Linked DNA regions of Drosophila melanogaster. The protein of the gene in region 1 purifies or fractionates together with the protein of each later gene. This does not show direct contact. Each region holds a gene or a part of one and is shown on either strand. Other genes may lie near its edges.

The links.
Region 2: the proteins of Rat1 (region 1) and Rai1 purify together in Drosophila melanogaster (affinity purification with western blotting; one study listed by BioGRID). This does not show direct contact.

Annotation. Positions count from the first base shown.
Region 1 is NT_033779.5:6,906,377-6,915,823, forward strand, and holds Rat1 (Rat1 5'-3' exoribonuclease), read left to right. Parts: upstream 1-1,706; 5' UTR 1,707-1,789; coding exon 1,790-4,516; 3' UTR 4,517-5,047; downstream 5,048-9,447. Other genes in the region: Polr1F (RNA polymerase I subunit F), read right to left, coding at 542-757, 856-1,401; Wee1 kinase, read right to left, coding at 5,325-5,476, 5,573-5,706, 5,808-6,512, 6,569-6,905, 7,050-7,551; x16 splicing factor, read right to left, coding at 8,667-9,024; CG32829 (uncharacterized protein), read right to left, coding at 9,307-9,447. UniProt on the Drosophila melanogaster protein: A 5'-3' exoribonuclease. May promote the termination of transcription by RNA polymerase II and promote RNA degradation. Involved in turnover of piRNA precursors.
Region 2 is NC_004354.4:16,798,700-16,806,438, forward strand, and holds Rai1 (Rat1 interacting protein 1), read right to left. Parts: upstream 4,646-7,739; 5' UTR 4,553-4,645; coding exon 3,858-4,552; intron 3,771-3,857; coding exon 3,338-3,770; 3' UTR 3,230-3,337; downstream 1-3,229. Other genes in the region: CG9132 (uncharacterized protein), read right to left, coding at 51-259, 483-879, 1,827-1,909; CG4789 (uncharacterized protein), read left to right, coding at 2,261-2,306, 2,370-2,888, 2,955-3,214; CG13005 (uncharacterized protein), read left to right, coding at 5,061-5,293, 5,372-6,581; ppk28 (pickpocket 28), read left to right, coding at 7,608-7,739. UniProt on the Drosophila melanogaster protein: Decapping enzyme for NAD-capped RNAs: specifically hydrolyzes the nicotinamide adenine dinucleotide (NAD) cap from a subset of RNAs by removing the entire NAD moiety from the 5'-end of an NAD-capped RNA.

The DNA.
Region 1 (9,447 bases):
AGACGTGATTGAGAAGATAATTGTGTAGGAATAATTTTTGAAGTGTTATCATTGTGTGTATAGTTTATGTTACTTTTTGGTGTACGATTAGAAATTCATATTTGCTTCTATTTGCTTGTTATTTAATAATTAGCGAAATCAAAATAATATGTAACAAGCTTTTAATGATTTGTAAAAGAAAACCAGATATAATAACTATGATACACATATTGTATTTAATGTATTGTAAAATATTGACTCTATTTGTATGAAATACATATGTATTACAAAGTATTCATATTCACATTTTAAAAACTGTTTTCAATTAACCATATCCAACTGACCCCATTGGCAGTGGCGATCAATCGGTAAGGTGTGTTAGCATATTTAAGGTATTGTACCTCTAAGACATACGCTATGTACATCGAATATTGGTACTATAGCAGCATTGCAAACTACGTAAAGACTCGGCCCCATTCAGCATTGAATTTGTACATTTCGACATTATGTAATTGTTAATTTGTACTATATACAGAGATGTTAAAAACGAAAGGTTTTAAAGCTATATCGGCTCGCTTTTTATTTCTTTTTTCACTTTTTTCGTCTTTGTAGTGTCACCGTTTTCCCCATTCTTGCGTTTTGTTGAAGTTTTCTTTCTCGGCGTGAATTCAGGTTCTTTCTTAATTTCTGTTATAAGAGCATCTAACATCTCATCTGGGTCCTCTTTCTTGACTTCTTTCTCCTCCGGTGGGGGACTGCCAAACTTAATGGATTTGTTCTGAAGCACAAAATGTGTGGGGGTATAATTAGATATGTTTAAATCAGGTTTCAAAACGCTATCAAATCTATTTGTTTTTTAATTAGGTAGTGCCCTACCTTTGGAGCTTCGCCATTCTCTAGCAATAGTTCTCCCTCGATGTAAGGCATCAAGTTGCTGATATCGAAGTTTTTTATGCGGATCTTGATCTCCTGGTCCATGGCGATGTCCTCGCGACTTGCACTCTGGTTTGTGAAACGTATGGAGGTGTTGAAGACCCGGTAAATGACGGCGCTGACATGGTGCCTGGAGATGTGTCGCACCACGCCGCTCAGAATGGCGCCCGCCTTCGGTCGGAAGACATAAAAGTCCGCATTTATGACCAGATGCATGGTGGGATCGTCTGCGCGTAGACCCGCCGTTTGACCGAGCACCTTGATGTTCTTGATTCCGAGGACGATCCCGTCGAGCCCCGAGTCATAGAATCCCACCTTGGTACGGATAAGGAGCTCGTGGAGCGCGTGCTTGAAATTGGCCATGCCGTACGGGCCCATTGCTAGGTGCATGTCCGTGGTGATGCAACGCACGCATGACTCCGGGCTGCTGGCATAGTTTTCCAGCTCCTTGACCGAAAATTTAATGTATTTCTGCAGTATCTTGGCCATTGCGAGATCTTAAACTATTAAAACTATTGGTTCGAATCGACCACATGAATTACATCTGACGATCTGGCATCCCCGCAGGTGCTACAAGAAATGCAATTTTAGCGGTTTTCCGCCAAATTGTACACCCTTTGGATGAGTAAAAAATGGTTAGATAAATCGTTGAACTATTAATATTTACAACTTTTTAGGATAATTATTAGTCACTTTATTAAATTTAATGCCAATACTAATGGCATACATTTTGTATTTTTTATATGTTTTGGTATTTTTTCTCCCCGCCATTTGTACGGTCCCATTGATCGGAGCATGCTTGTGGTATAGGTGAAGAAAACGAGGAAAGCAGAGTTTGACCAAATATAAGAAAAATAGAGCCTAAACCGAAGATATAATGGGAGTTCCAGCATTCTTTCGCTGGCTGAGCCGGAAGTATCCATCCGTGATAATAGAATGCAATGAAAACAAGCAGGTGGACGCGGACACCGGTCGAAACATCTACGAGGACCCCACCTTGCCGAATCCAAATGGGATAGAGTTTGACAATCTGTACCTGGACATGAACGGCATCATCCATCCGTGCACGCATCCGGAGGACAAGCCGGCGCCGAAGAACGAGGACGAGATGATGGTGGCCATCTTCGAATGCATCGACCGTCTGTTCGGTATTGTACGTCCTCGAAAACTGCTCTATATGGCCATCGATGGCGTTGCTCCACGAGCCAAGATGAATCAGCAGCGATCTCGTCGCTTCCGAGCGGCCAAGGAAACCACCGAAAAGCGGCTGGAGATAGCACGGATCCGCGAGGAGCTGCTGAGCCGCGGCTGCAAGCTGCCACCGGAGAAGGAGAAGGGTGAACACTTTGACTCCAACTGCATCACGCCGGGCACCCCGTTCATGGACCGACTGAGCAAGTGTTTGCACTACTTTGTTCATGATCGTCAAAACAATAACCCGGCCTGGAAGGGCATCAAGGTGATCCTGTCGGACGCCAATGTGCCCGGTGAGGGTGAGCACAAGATCATGGATTACATTCGCAAGCAGCGTGCCCAGCCTGATCACGATCCCAACACGCAGCACGTCTTGTGCGGAGCCGACGCCGATCTCATCATGTTGGGTCTGGCCACGCACGAGCCCAACTTCACAATCATTCGGGAGGAGTTCCTGCCGAATAAGCCGCGTCCCTGCGACATCTGCAACGGATTTGGCCACGAGATGGACAAGTGTGTCGGACTCGGAGCGACTGCGCCAACTAGCGCCAATTTTAAGCCCGATGTGCCCATAGGCGCCGAGGTAAAGTTCATCTTTGTGCGGCTGAGTGTGCTACGCGAGTACCTAAAGCAGACTCTTGAGATGCCGAATCTGCCATTTGAGTACAGTTTCGAGCGCGCGTTGGACGACTGGGTGTTCATGTGCTTCTTTGTGGGCAATGATTTTCTGCCCCACCTGCCTAGCCTGGAGATTCGCGAGGGTGCAGTAGATCGATTGGTGGAGTTATACAAGAAGTGCGTTTACAAGACAAGGGGCTATCTCACCGACTCGGGAGATGTAAATCTTGACCGGGTGCAGCTGATTATGACCGACTTGGGCAATGCCGAGGACCAGATCTTCAAGAGCCGACAGCGACGCGAGGAGCAGTTCAAGGCCAGGGACAAGGCGCGCAAGAGGCAGGAAAGGAATCAGGACCACGGATCCTTGAATCAGTCTGCTTTTGGCGCCAGCGCCGTGGGTCCAAACAGCCAGCAAAGGAGCGTCGGCAACTACAAGGAGGAGGCCGCGGCACTTCGTAATAGAAAACGGACGAGTGACATGGCCAATTTGGATGACGAAGATGAGGAGGAGAATAACGACGAGGTGCGATTGTGGGAGGATGGCTTCAAGGACCGCTACTACGAATCCAAGTTTGACGTGGCACCGGGTAACCAGCAGTTCCGATACGCTGTAGCCCTGCAGTATGTCCGAGGATTGTGCTGGGTTCTTAAGTACTACTATCAGGGCTGTGCCTCCTGGAACTGGTACTTCCCATACCATTATGCACCCTTCGCATCGGATTTTGTCAACATCCAGGGACTGTCCACGATGTTCGAAAAGGGCACAAAGCCGTTTAATCCGCTCGAGCAACTGATGGGCGTCTTTCCGGCAGCCAGTAGTTCACACGTGCCCGAGCCGTGGGCCAAGCTCATGTCCGATCCGGAGTCACCGATCATTGACTTCTATCCGGAGGACTTTAAGATCGATCTGAATGGCAAGAAGTTCGCCTGGCAGGGAGTGGCTCTGCTGCCGTTCGTCGATGAGAAGCGTCTCTTCAAGGCTTTGGTTCCCTACTATGATCAACTTACTGGAGAGGAGGTGAAGCGAAACAAGCGTGGAGACAATTACCTGTACATCAGCAATCAGAGTCCGCACTACAAAAAGGTGAAGAAAATCAGCGAAAAGGATGATGAGAGCGTTTGCAAAGCCATCTCATTTGACGGTATGCGCGGCACTTTGGGAAAAACCGAACTAAACACTGCCATCAGCGGCGTTCTTAAGTCGCCGATTTCCGGGCTATCGGACATTAATGACAATATAACCGTGACGACCACGTTCAGGGATCCGGAATACGATGAAGACTACATTTTCGAAGCGAAGCGCCTCGAAAACGCCGTAGATCCGCCACAGGTGCTGCCAAATGAGCAGTCTGGTAACAAGCATCGTCCCGTCATCGGTTTTAATAGCCACTTGACCAGGGCCTACGTTCCGGATAGTGGTCACCGCATGCTGAACGCTGGCATAAGGAACCAACAGGGTGGCGGTGGCAATGGAGGTGGAGGAGGAGGCTACGGGCAAGGAGGCGGCTACGGCCAGGGAATAGGCGGAAACCAAGGACAGAGCTATCAGAACAATAGCCGAAACTATAACTACAACTACAACAATAACTACAATCAGCACCAGGGTGGCGGCTATCAAAACAACTACAATAACCGACAGCAGCAGCAATATGGCCACAATCAGAGATTCAACCAGGACAATTCGAATCAGCAGCAGCGCAACTTTAACAACTATAATGGTCCAAGGAACAACAACTACCAGCAACAAGGCGGCAGCAGGCAACAGAATCAGAATTATAGACGGTTTTAGGTGTATCATACAAACAATATAATATGTAGCGCATAACAAAAGTGTAATCCATATTAATTTACATTATTTTTTAATGAAGAAAATATACTGATTAAGGATTTCCAAACAAACTCATGCCAAGTTCTGAGTTTGTTCTTTAAATGAAATACCCATTGCATTTCTATCAAAGCAGCTTACAGCCAACATCTAGTCTTAGTGCCTCAAAGAAAATAAGTCAAATTACAATAATGATCATTTCTCTTTCCATTGATTGCGTAAAAAAAGCAAACTAGCTGGATAATACAAAAAAATGAGACGATTGTTATTTTCAGATAAGGAAAATGGAACATAATTTGACAGGAAATTGGATAATATCAAAACAATTTCTAGTGGAGTAAACAATTGAATTTAAGAAAAACTTCGCAAACATTTTGTTTTAAATCCGGAGTCATAATAAATCCAGTAGTTTTTATGGAATAGCATTCGCTATATTTAACGAATGGAATGTTATTATTTCGATTTCCATGTAACATAATAAATATTTTAATTTCGAAAACAATACTCATTACAACTATGCGAGAATCTTAAAGTTTACAAGGGGCTTTTCTTAAAACGATTGTGCTTTCTTAACAGGGAAAAGTTCACTGAGCTTGAAAAATATATAGATTATATTTACGAATGCTTCAAAATCCATGAGCTTAAACGAAAGCGAATAGTTAGAAATATGTATCGATTATATGAATACGCTTAAAAGGTAACACAATGTGAGCTTAGTTCACGTTCGATTCGGAAGAGTTTAGCTATCGGTTCGGCATCTGTTGCGAGCTTATCAGATATTGGTGATAACGTTCTTGTTGCGATCGGATATGCTGTCGAACTTGCCATGGCTGGAGAATGGCGTGCGCATGCGTCGCGTGAAGCTGCGAAGGCAACGCTGTCCATCCAGACTGTCCGGATTGTTAGTCACCGCAAGAAGATTGACTAAAATGAGTTGCAGAAACGTTAGAAATTGTAAACATCCAGATAACCAACCACCTTAAAGTTTAAGTTGTTATACAACTATTTATCTTATCTTACCTCGTTGCTCGAGCAGTTTAATCTGTTTTTTGGCCTCTCTCAGCTTGTTCATCAGTATCTCGTTCTTGCGCTTCTCCACGGTCAGCTCCAGGCCGAGCTGCAGCTTGCTCTTGGAGTCAACAGCACTCAGAATTCTGCAAATTAAACGAACATTATATGTATTTAGTGTGAGCACATTTATCTTAAATGCAACTAAATATGATTGTCGCTTATACTGTCGACTCAATTTACTTACGGATGACTGAATATAGACTGCGAAGTGGGCCTCTTGTCGGGATAAGGATGCATCATCTGGGCTATGAGCTCGTTAAAATCCCTGCTCAGGCTCGGCAGAATCGGCACCTTGCCATCTCGCAAGTTGTGCCATTCGGGTCCATTTTTAGGCAGCGGACCACCGCCGGCCGCCTCGAACAGCGTGATGCCCAGGGAAAATATGTCGGCCTTGAAGAGATTCGAATAATCCTCGTGAAGGATCTCCTTGGGCAGGTAACGACAGTCTCCCTCCTCGACGTAGGGTTCCTTAACGGAGGTCACGTGTCCCAGGTCGCCGATCTTGTACGTAACCAGATTCTCTGAATGGCGCAGTTCTTCATAGACGCTGTCCATGCCATCGTCATCTTTGGTCTGCTGCGGCTGCACCTCCACCAGCTTGTGTGCATTGGGATTCATGGTGGAGAATATGTTTTCGGGCTTCAGATCCATGTGCACCAGGTCATTTGAATGAATATAGCGTAGGCCCTCTATCACATGCATGAGAACAATCTTTAGCTCTGCCTCACCCAAACAATGATCTTGGATGCGCGCGTGCAAGCTGCCACCATCGCAGAATTCATTCTGTATCAGCATATGATCGTCCTCCGCCCACGCGGAATAGTATCTAACCACGTTATCGTGCTTGCCCAATACAGCATGGGCCCAGACCTCGTTCAGGGCTCTCTTTCTGCAAGCAAATAGATTGTTAAACGACGCTCGTTGCAATAACTAATGAATACTCACTCGAAAGAACTGCCTGCCACCGGCTTCTTACTCTTTTTAATCGCATATATGCAGCCATCTAGTCGATTGACGCATTGGAACACCACACCGAACTCGCCAACGCCGATTACGTTGACTTGCATGAACTCCCGCTTGAAGCGACTGATGTTCGTGTCGTGCAGGGCCAGCCGCTTGGGTGCCTGCTGGTGGATTTCGCGCATCGAGTCGCCCGCCTCCTCCGTCACATCGTCGTCGCAGGCATCACTGAGCAAATACTTTTGCATAGCATTCACGTTCAGGTTGAGGTTTTCGCGTCCGAATTGCGTGCGACAGCGCTTCTTATTGTGAGCCATGAGGCCTAAAAATAAAAAAAATGATTATTAGATTGCTAATAAGACTAAGCTGGGATGGGTTAAAGTGGAGTGCAAATTAAAGCAACGAACTGGAAATTGATACCTTTATTTAATTAAAATATCAAAAGCGAGAAACGTTTTAAACTTACTATCTGGCGTGAAGGGGTTCACATTTGCCGTGTCCTGGGTGGGCAGTTTGCGGTTGTGCAGTGGCAGAGATCGCGGGCGCTCTGACAGGCGGAAGAGGTCGTCGCTGCGCCTGGAGGCATTCACTGCCGCTGCTGCCGCCGACAGATGGTTGCTGCACTGCGTCGTCGACTTCTGCAGGATGGTCTTTGGAGTGGCCGGTGTGCTAAAGAGTCGCAGGGCCCGCACCTTTTGGCATGGCGGCGACATGGACACGTCCCCGTCGCCGCCTTCTTTGCCTATCTTACTGTCCAGCTGCTGCTCCTCACCGGAGGATAGCTTCGGCCGCTGCTGAAGGGGATGCTGCGGACTCGCTCCCTCGGGCGTGTCCTTGTCAAAGTCATCATCGGCGAAGCGGAGCTTGCGCGGATTGAAGACCTGCGGCGATGGCGAACGCGATCTCAGTTCGACGCTTGAATCGAGTGAGGTGACGCTCATCTCGTGCTCCGACTGGCGGAATGCCATTGTTGCTGTAGCTGTCCAGCTGACCACGTTGAAAGACGATTCTGTTCGTTATTTCTGATTTCAGAACTATTTGTATGGAAGCCGGCGGCAGTAAAGTAAAGGCAATAGTTAAAAAAAATGCAAAACAAAACACAAAACAAAATTTAACTGGAGGAATGCTAGTCTAATAATGTGGCCGTACCCGATGCGCAATAAAATACCAGCTCTGACTGAAAAAATACTAAGTAACTGGAAGTGCAGAGTTACCAAACAAACAAAATACTAAACATCTGGCAAAAATACCAATTTAAATAATGCGCACCTACTTCTAAACTGAGTGACCAGACTTGTTCAAGACCGCATAAAGCCCGCCAAATTCAAATGGAAAACAACTAATTTTGGCATTTAATTTATTGATTGAATATCTGTATTTTAGTGTTCAGCGCATTTGCTACATAATTCAAACACACATCTCAAGAATCCATACATATGTATTTTTTTAATACTTAACTATGACATCAATGTATGAATAATTATTATGCACTGTTGCAATACTTAATTATTACGAATATAGAAACACATCATACAGAGATTGGAGTCAAATAATCAAGTTGTTGTGTTGCATAAATTGAAAATTGTGTAAAATTGACATGAAAATGGTGGCGATGCTTCGTCCTCTGCACATTCGAGTATAATTCCAGGGTAAGCAAAATAAAATCCAAGGCAAATCAATTTACATAGCAATCCTGACTAGATCGTTAATCTGCGGCTGCCGATACATTTCTATATCTTAAATTTCCTTCCGTCAAATGATTTTCCGAAGCGCTCTCCTTTGTTCTGCGTGTGCTTGTATTTGTTGTTGTGTTGGAACATTAGAATACCTAAATATGCAAACTCGAGTTCCACTATAAATTAAAACCCTTAACTAATATGGTTTTGGACAACTAAAAACCTTAGATGGATACTGCATGAAAAAGTATTTGGGAATCTGTCTTGTTACACGTGAGGTTGTTTCTTTTGGGAATGAGGATTAGAGTCCAGTGCGTGGAGAGCCCATCTCGCCGGATTCATCGGGGGGTTGCAGCTCCGGCCCTCATCATCGCATGTCGGGCTCCGTCTGCATCCGTTCGCTGTCGCTAGTCCCTTGAAACGGATCGTGAGGCGGACGAGTCACCACGACGCCTGGGCGGCGATCCACGGCGCACCGCTGGCGACGCCGATCGAGATCGGGAACGCGACCGCGGCGATCCCCTAACCCGGTCATCGTCCTCATCCTCATAGCGCCGTTTTGGCGGCGGCGGTGAATCTACCGCTCCACTGCCGTTGCGCTCGTGGTCGCTGTACCTCGACGCCGATCCGTTCTCGTCCCGTCCGTTCGAGCGGCCGGAGCGACGGCCCACCGAGCCGGCGGAGCGACTGCGGGATCGAGTTCCGGACTTGGAGCGAGTGCGCCTGCGTCGCGATGTGCTCCGAGATCTGCTGAATGAGTTGCTTCTGGAAATGAAATGGGATAAATCGTCGTGATTAGCTATCAGGCTTTTCAAAAAACGTAACAATTTAAGCTACCTTATATATGTATATACTAATATACTAATACATTTAAATATATTATAGTGTGCTATATTATTTGAAACATTGTAAGTATCAAAACTAGCTTTTAGCAGATTAAGTTTTAACAGCTTATTGAATAAAACACAAGACAGTATAATATTCTAGAACCTCTCCCAGTTTTAATTCTGCATTTCACATAAAGATCACATGTATAATATAGCTTGCTCAATGCTTGCCGCCCTTCTTTTTGTAGTGCTTGTGGCCGTGCTTCTTGGAGCCCTTCTCGCCGTGCTCCTTCTTCTCCTCGAAGCTGTCGCCGTACTTGTGCTCCTTCTTGTACTTCTTGTGGTCCTCGTCGTGGTGACC
Region 2 (7,739 bases), on another chromosome or scaffold:
TTCGCAATGTAAAGCAGATATAGTTGGGAATAATCCCAGTTACAACTCACCCGGCTGATGCGTAGTCGGTCCATTCGGATCCTCCAGCGGCGGGTCTGTGGGCGGGCGAAACGCCGGGACTTTGCCGTACCGTCGTGTTTGCGGCGGCTGCGGCCGGTGGCGGAGCGATCTTGCCAAGGCCACCGGGCGGCGGTGGCAGCACGCCCGAGGAGCCTTTGTTCTTGCCAGTGCGCGAGGATCCCTCGGAGCCGTCCTTTTTCTGAAACAAACAACGAAGTTCCCATCCATTAAACAAGTTCGGATTCAACGGTTTTTTAGGTTTGAAAACGTTATCTTCGGCCACAAACACAATGATCAAGTTTCAACATCTCAGAAACTCAGATATGCTGATTAAGCAAAATGAGTGGTTTGGATGGGGAAGTCTTCTTTCCCAGAAAAATAGCTGATATAGCAGCATTCAAAGTACATGCAGCTACACCCACCGTTATCCGCATGTTGATCTTGATGGTCTCGCCCTCCTTGAATCCCAGATCGAGCTCCTGCTTGGGCTCCGTCTTCTCCTTCTCGATCTGCTCCTGGTTCTTTACCCACTTGAAGTGATCCTGCAGCGCAACATTCAGATCGAACGAATCGGATCGATCGCCGAATCCGAGGCCCAGAAATGCCGATCGCCCATTATCGTCCTGCACGCGGATGACAAAATAGCGGGAGCTATCTGAAACCGCCTCGATGGCCACGCCGGGATATGTGTCGATGGGGCAGTTGGCGAACAGGGCACCACTGGTCTTGTCCTCCAGCTTGAGGACAACGGCGGTGCCCTTGGCCACCAGTCGCATCCTGCCCGTCCAGGTGGGCTCCTTTAAGTTCCAATCTCCCGCTCTGCGAATAGGATAAATCACTTAGAATGGTTCTCGCTTCTTCTGGCGAAAATTGTATGCGCACAATGATAAGGAAAGTTCAATATATTATTTAGGTCTAAAGATCTGACAGAAAACTAACGAAATGGACTTTATCTAGCGTTTCTAGTCTAAGAATGCTTTTAGTTTCCATGTTATCTGCAAGAACTTCCATTTTTTGTTGTAGTTGTAAGAAGTTAATAGATCAAGATGATAAAGGATTTGTGAGGAAATCATGCATATTATGATCCCAAGATGATATATATATACAGAAAGAATTAACTATCTCGTAAGATAATTGATATTACGATATATTTAGGCCATAATTTGGAATGGAAAAACCGGTGGAATGTGGTTCTTGTGGATTAATTCGCTTGGCATTCGATTAATGGGTCGTTCGTAGTAGCTTTTTAATTATGGTATACCCCCAATATTTGAGTTATTCCGATAATTTGTGTTATTTGCCCACCTGAGCGCAGTTAACTGTGAAATGAACAGCAACAAAAGGAAAACAAAGAGAGTGGCTGCAAATAGCAACAATTACACGCACGCCAGCGAAGCTTTTTCGCTGCCCCCCGTTTCTTTCTGTGTGTTTATCTGTTTTTTTTTTTTTGTTTTTGTTCTTGGCTCCCTGATACGTGTAAGTGAAAATGTTCAACAATAATTCCAGGAAAAAAAATCAATTGGATTTGAACTTCACAGCCTCAGCAGCAGAAGTCGCGCTGCCTTTAACCTTGACTTTTTCTTAGAAAAACATAATTAATGCATTCCCACACCCCCAGTGGATATATGCACATATATATTTAGTTATATGTGCAGTGAGTGGGCGTTGAAATGCACGAAGAACTTTCAATTTTGATGGCAGAAAATCCAAAAGCAAGGGGCGAAAAAAAGTAGTCACCTGGTTTGCCAGCCGATTTGTCGACTTACCTATAACCACGATTGCTCGCACGGGGTGGTATTTTGTAGATAAACACCTCCGGCTTCACGATCAGCACACTTTCGTATTCCATCTTATTCGAAGTTCAGATAAATTTGATTTTGTTTATTATCTGAATCTTTCCAAGTGTTTTTTTAAGCTTTAGCCAGTGTGACCGGCGGGCGATAGTCTGCATATGCCAAGCGACCCTCGAAAATATACCAACACAAAAGTGTTGAACATCATTTTTAAATTCAGATTTAAAAACTATTAAATTGATTAAATGATTAAACATTTTAAGTTCAAATCTAATGTTTTTTTGGAAAATAACATTATCGTAGTTTAACTATCACTGAAATTTGTGTCATTATTAACATTTCTTAGTAGTTAGTAGTAGTCATTGAATGCTAGTGTGGCTGCAACCAATAAAATGAGTTCCAATCAAATGGCGATGAATAATCGAGTGCGAATTGTTGTGGTTGGCGATTCGGGTAAATAATGGACGTCAAACGCTTTCCGTGGCACTAATCCTCTCGAGAATTCCCCTTACCCAGGTGTGGGGAAGACCTCCCTGACGCACCTGATCACCCACAACGAAGCCCTCATCCGGCCCGGCTGGACGGTGGGCTGCAACATCCAGGTGAAGATGCATCCGTTCAGGGAGGGCACCGCTCGCGAGTGTCCCTACTTCGTGGAGCTGTTCGATGTTGGGGGATCGCTGAACCACAAGAACACGCGCAGCGTCTTCTATGCGGGCATCGATGGAATCATTCTGGTGCACGACCTTACCAACGCCAAGTCGCAGAGGCAGCTAATCGACTGGCTGTACGAGATCGTCAACAAGGAGGGCAAGGATACGAACAAATCGAACGGAGCCTCCATGCCGCCATCGCCGCCCAGCCCGCTGAGCAGCTTCTCAACGGACAACCTCGGAACGGACGGCCACATTCTCTTCGACATGGAGGAGTTTCTGGGCGCCACGCAAACGCCTATCCTGGTCATGGGCACCAAGCTGGATCTCTTGGACGAGAAGCGCCATCCCAAAATGGGGGTGAAGAAGCCGGGCGGAATAGGTGCCTCCTAATATGACATTTAACAAATGCTTCCTCCTAACGTTTATCTATTTCAATATCCCTCAGCCGACAAGTGTGGAGCCGAGGAGATTTGGCTAAATTGCCGCAACAGTCGCAGCCTGGCCGCTGGTACCACTGATGCCGTGAAACTGTCCCGCTTCTTTGACCGCGTTATCGAAAATCGCAAAGCGCTGCGCGCAGCCCTAGCATTCGGAGTGAGCAGCTCCAACGCCGTCAGTCCGCCCGACAGGCGACGTTTTGGCCCGACCAGTGCCAAAATGGAAGACAGCGTCTTGCCCCTCCTGGATACCCAAGACCTCAAGTGACTAATGCACTCAATTCAGTAGTTCTAAGTTGTAGTTATCGTACGGGAAGCATTACAAAAAGAAACGATTAATTCCCATTATAAAATCAGACTTGCTGTTGTTTAGAAAATGTTATGCATTGCCTTAGGAGCGCGTTTTGAGCAAATCTCGATACCAGTTGGGCAGGATTTGATGTTCCGGACCGCGCAGCACTTCGTAGCTGGCGTGCTTATTTAAAAAAGTCACCTGGACCACCGCAAACGGATCGTTAATGTTCACCAGCAGCTTCTTAAGATTGCGCAGAAACTGTTCCAGGTACCAAGCCATTGCCGATGCACTCCACGGTTTGTTGCGGGCCAGTGTTGCCACATCGATCTCATCGATCCTCTGCAGCATGCCCTTGGTGTCGCGGAGTCCCACGTAGAGCGTAGTGATGCCCACCAGGAATGACTGACTCCACCAGTTGGCAGACTTGAACGATTTGAAGGTGCGAATTTGGTGAGGGTTCATATTGAAGACGCTGGTCTTTAGCTCTACGAATTTCAATGAGTCGAGCACTCTGCAATCTTTGAAGTCACTAATGGGATTCGTGTAAGTGTATACACAAATAATGAATGGATGGAACATTAATCATTCATAAGTATTTAAACCCTGGACCACTCACACTGGCTCCTTGCTGTCCACACAGTCCAGTTCGGCGCCGTATAGCATCAAAATCCCGGCCAGGTTCGTGCGGTACACGCCCATGAACTCCTCTGCCTCGTTGACCGGCACATTGGTCACCGGTTTTCCCTGCGCCTGGGCACTGGTCAGGTACTGCTCGAACTTGAAGCCCCAGGAGCACATGACCCGCTGTGCCCTGCTCATGTTCGCGTTCTCCAGCTGCTGCTCTGGGGTTTCCTCCTTGCACATGTAGACGTTGCCGTTCAGGAGCGTCGCCTTGACGCGGAATGAGCGATTATCATACTGCAGGCACATTATCTGCCGCAAAATACCGCGCAGTGTTACAAAGTCGCTGTCCAGGCGTAGATTTCTCGCATCGGAGCTACTCTGACGGAGCAGCTCCTTCTGGTGTTGCTTAATGTAGGTCAGCATAATTTCCAGATCCCGTTTGCCGTTCTCGACGGGCTTACGGATCACATCCTCTATACCCCCGTTAAGATCGAACGGCAGCGGTGGCCACGGTTGGCCAGCCAAGTAGCTGGCGCAGCTGGCGTCGTCCACAAATTCCCGGCTAGCGTTTATGCTGCACACACCGATGCACTTCGGGCGGCTTATCGAGGGAAACGGCGTATTGTACATCGCGCCCAGCTTGTGCTGCCCCCAGGGCACACTGATGAAGCCCGCGTTCTCGGCCATTTCCTTCGCCTCCGCGGATTTTCCAAGTTCAAACTATAATTATCCGGAAAATAACGCTAATATTTATTAGAGGTGGAGAAAAATCGCAAACATCGATGTTTTTCGAGGAATCATCGATTATTTTCTTTCTCCACTGCGCAACTAAATGGGCTAAGACCTTGGGAAATGGTTGTGGTGAGAATCAAGTGTAGGCGATTAGTATCGAAAGCTAAATTGTATTAAAAATGGGATGATGATGTGCTTATTAATTTTAATGTAATAAGTGAACGCTAATGATGATAGTACCTCGATGAAGAGAAAAAATTTTGACTCTTAGATTTGCTTTATGTTCTGTTTGAGCACGTCTATTCACCACGAGGTATTTGCAAGCTTAAATCAAACAATTTGTGTGACCACAGTCATGGGAATCTAAGAATATACTAAATACCAAAATAACACGAAATCCGATTCGGTTTTGTTCATAGATTTGTTTTTATGTTTATTTGTAACCACCAAACGTGGCTGGCCAATGAAGCATCTCCTGGAGGATCCCTCGGTCCTGGCCGAGCTGCAGGTGCTGCCGGATAAGACCGGTGGTGTACAGGATCGACAGGAGGCCGCCAAGAATCCTGCAGAGAATTCCGTGCCCGACGAAGATTTGCCGGCTGCAGGAGGCGATTTGCTACGCGTTAAGGATACTCTGGGCCAGCTGGCCTGCAGTCTGCACAAGCTGTCCAAAAACGATCACATAGTCATCGATCGGTGGGTAGTAATCCCTATTTTTTGGAGCTTTCATTCACCTTCTCTGATCACGTTCCGTGATCTTTTATTCCTGTGCAGAAAGCGCCATCAGGTGATTCGCACAGATGCGGCTACGCAACAATTAACGATTTACCGCTGTCCGGATCCCGCCGTCATGGGGATTCGCCCGGCGATAGAGAAAAATGCCCAGAATCCGCCTGCCAAAGTGGGTAGACCATCGAAAAGAGCCTGTTCGGTTGCCACCGCTCCTGTGGCGAAGAAACCAACACTAGCGGAGCAAAAACCTGCTCCCGACACCCATCGCACTAGATCCGGTCGCCAGGTGCGCAGCTTGATGCCACAGCCCGCTCCCGTGACCAGTGGCTCAGCGGTTGAGCCAAGTTCTGCCCGCATGCTTGAGATGCTGGTGGCCGACTTGCGGGACAAGGACTACCGGGCACCCATGGCAGCGCCGAAAAGCACGAGTGTCAGCAGCAGCGTCAGTATAAGCCAGGAACCGACCACAACGACAACCATCCAACGAGCCGTGCCCAAAAATGCCGTTTGTCCCGGCTGTGGAAAGATCTTTTTGGGACGCCGTCTGCAGCGTCACTTTGTCAAATTCCCAGAGCACATGCCGCGTCCGGGCGAGCAGACACCACCTGTAGCTGTAGCTACAGTACCATCAACGGTTCATCCTCCCTCCACGCCGTCGCTGTTCGGCCTTCTGACCGCCCAACTGCAGCGGCATTCCCATCTCAGCGAGGAACAGCGCTCTGATCTCTTTCTTAACGAACTTAACGACTTTGTGGAGCAGCTGCAATTGCGCAGCCAACGGCTTATACGGAATACCTCTGGACTGCATTTTGTAAATGCACGAATTGCACGAGTTTTGGGCATACCCGAGGGTCAGTATGCGTTGGATATGTCCGCCATGGAGTCGCCGCTGGCACCGATGCCGGAATCAGAGGGAGCGGCCTTGGTTGCCGGCAGCGGTAGTGAAGGAGCCCGCAATCTGGTGGTCTACGCAGAGTTGAGCATGTCGCTGGACGATCCGCTCACAGACGAGGCTGCACAGCGTCTCAATCTATCGGCGGGCGGTCAACTTCATCCGCCTTCCGAGGAGAGTCTGCTTAGAAACGTCAGCGATCTTATGCAGCCGCCAGTGGCAACTGCTCCTCCGACTGTGAACCATGGCTACGATCATGCCAGCGATAATGCCGTGGAGGCCCTGACCATGAAGGAAACGCCCAACACAGAGGCTATTCTCGATCTCAACGTGGACTTCTTCCAGTTCAATCCGAATTAGAAGGGACAAATGTATAGAAAGCGCTTAGCTAGCAATGGAGATGAAGAATTCTATGATAGAGTGAAAGGTATTTCAACTACTTTTTAACTTGAACACTGAAAAGGTTCTAAAATATGAAAGTTTAAAACATTTATTTTATTTATCGTGCATATTGCATGAAGAAAGTCTCTGAAAATTGAAACGAACTTTTCTAAGTAGATTAAAATGTATTAATGGAGTATGTAAATATAGAAATAGGGATCTCTTAGATACATTTTGGTATTGTATTTTGAATTTTTACTGAATATTAATATTGAAATTGTATAATTTGAAAAGTAACCTCATATAACCTCCAGCCAAAAATCTATGCAATTAGTACGCAAATGTAAATGGTTGAGTGGCAAAAATGCCGCATGCGGATGGAGATTATTTATGAAGTACTTAACTGGCTAACGAAAGATGCCTATTAAATGAATTTATCTTCCTTGATTTTTGAAATTGTTGCGTTATTATTTGCTGGAACATTTGGAAGTGAATAAAAATCCTGGCCAATTTAGTTTAATGTATATATGCTTGTGGTTTCTAGCAGCTTTTCATACTTTTCATTTGTGTTTACTGCAAGTCAATTAAATTGATCGCAATTTTAATGGCGTTCAGCTAAATGGTAAATTTCTGTGAAAAATTATTATTGCTTTTAGTACAAAGCTGCTGCTTAAATAAATCCCTTTCAATACCTGTGTGTATTACAATATCTAGAATATCTTTATTGAAAAGCGTGCGTGTATCTATGTTTACTTTCAGGTGTAAAGTTTATTTGCCACGATGTAATCATATTTTCTGGCCATCCACTTGATTTTCAAAATACGTGGAGGATGGCAAGGGGGTGGCTAAAATCAATTTGGCAGTTATCACTGCAAATGGACGACCGTGTTTGCCTTGGTTCAATATGATTAAAGCTGATGACCGCCATGGAATTGCACCTAAAAGTGCAGTCAGAAAGTGACCTATAAATAGCGGAGATTCAAAGAAGTGCGGACGTAGTGCATTATGAGGACGTTGACGGAAAGCAGGCGGCGCCAAAGTGGCTCCTCCGGGTGCAAAAAGGACTCCGAGTCGGATGACGATGAGAATACCATCTGTAGCAGGGCGGCCATTAAGAGGAGTGTGGTCTACTATCTC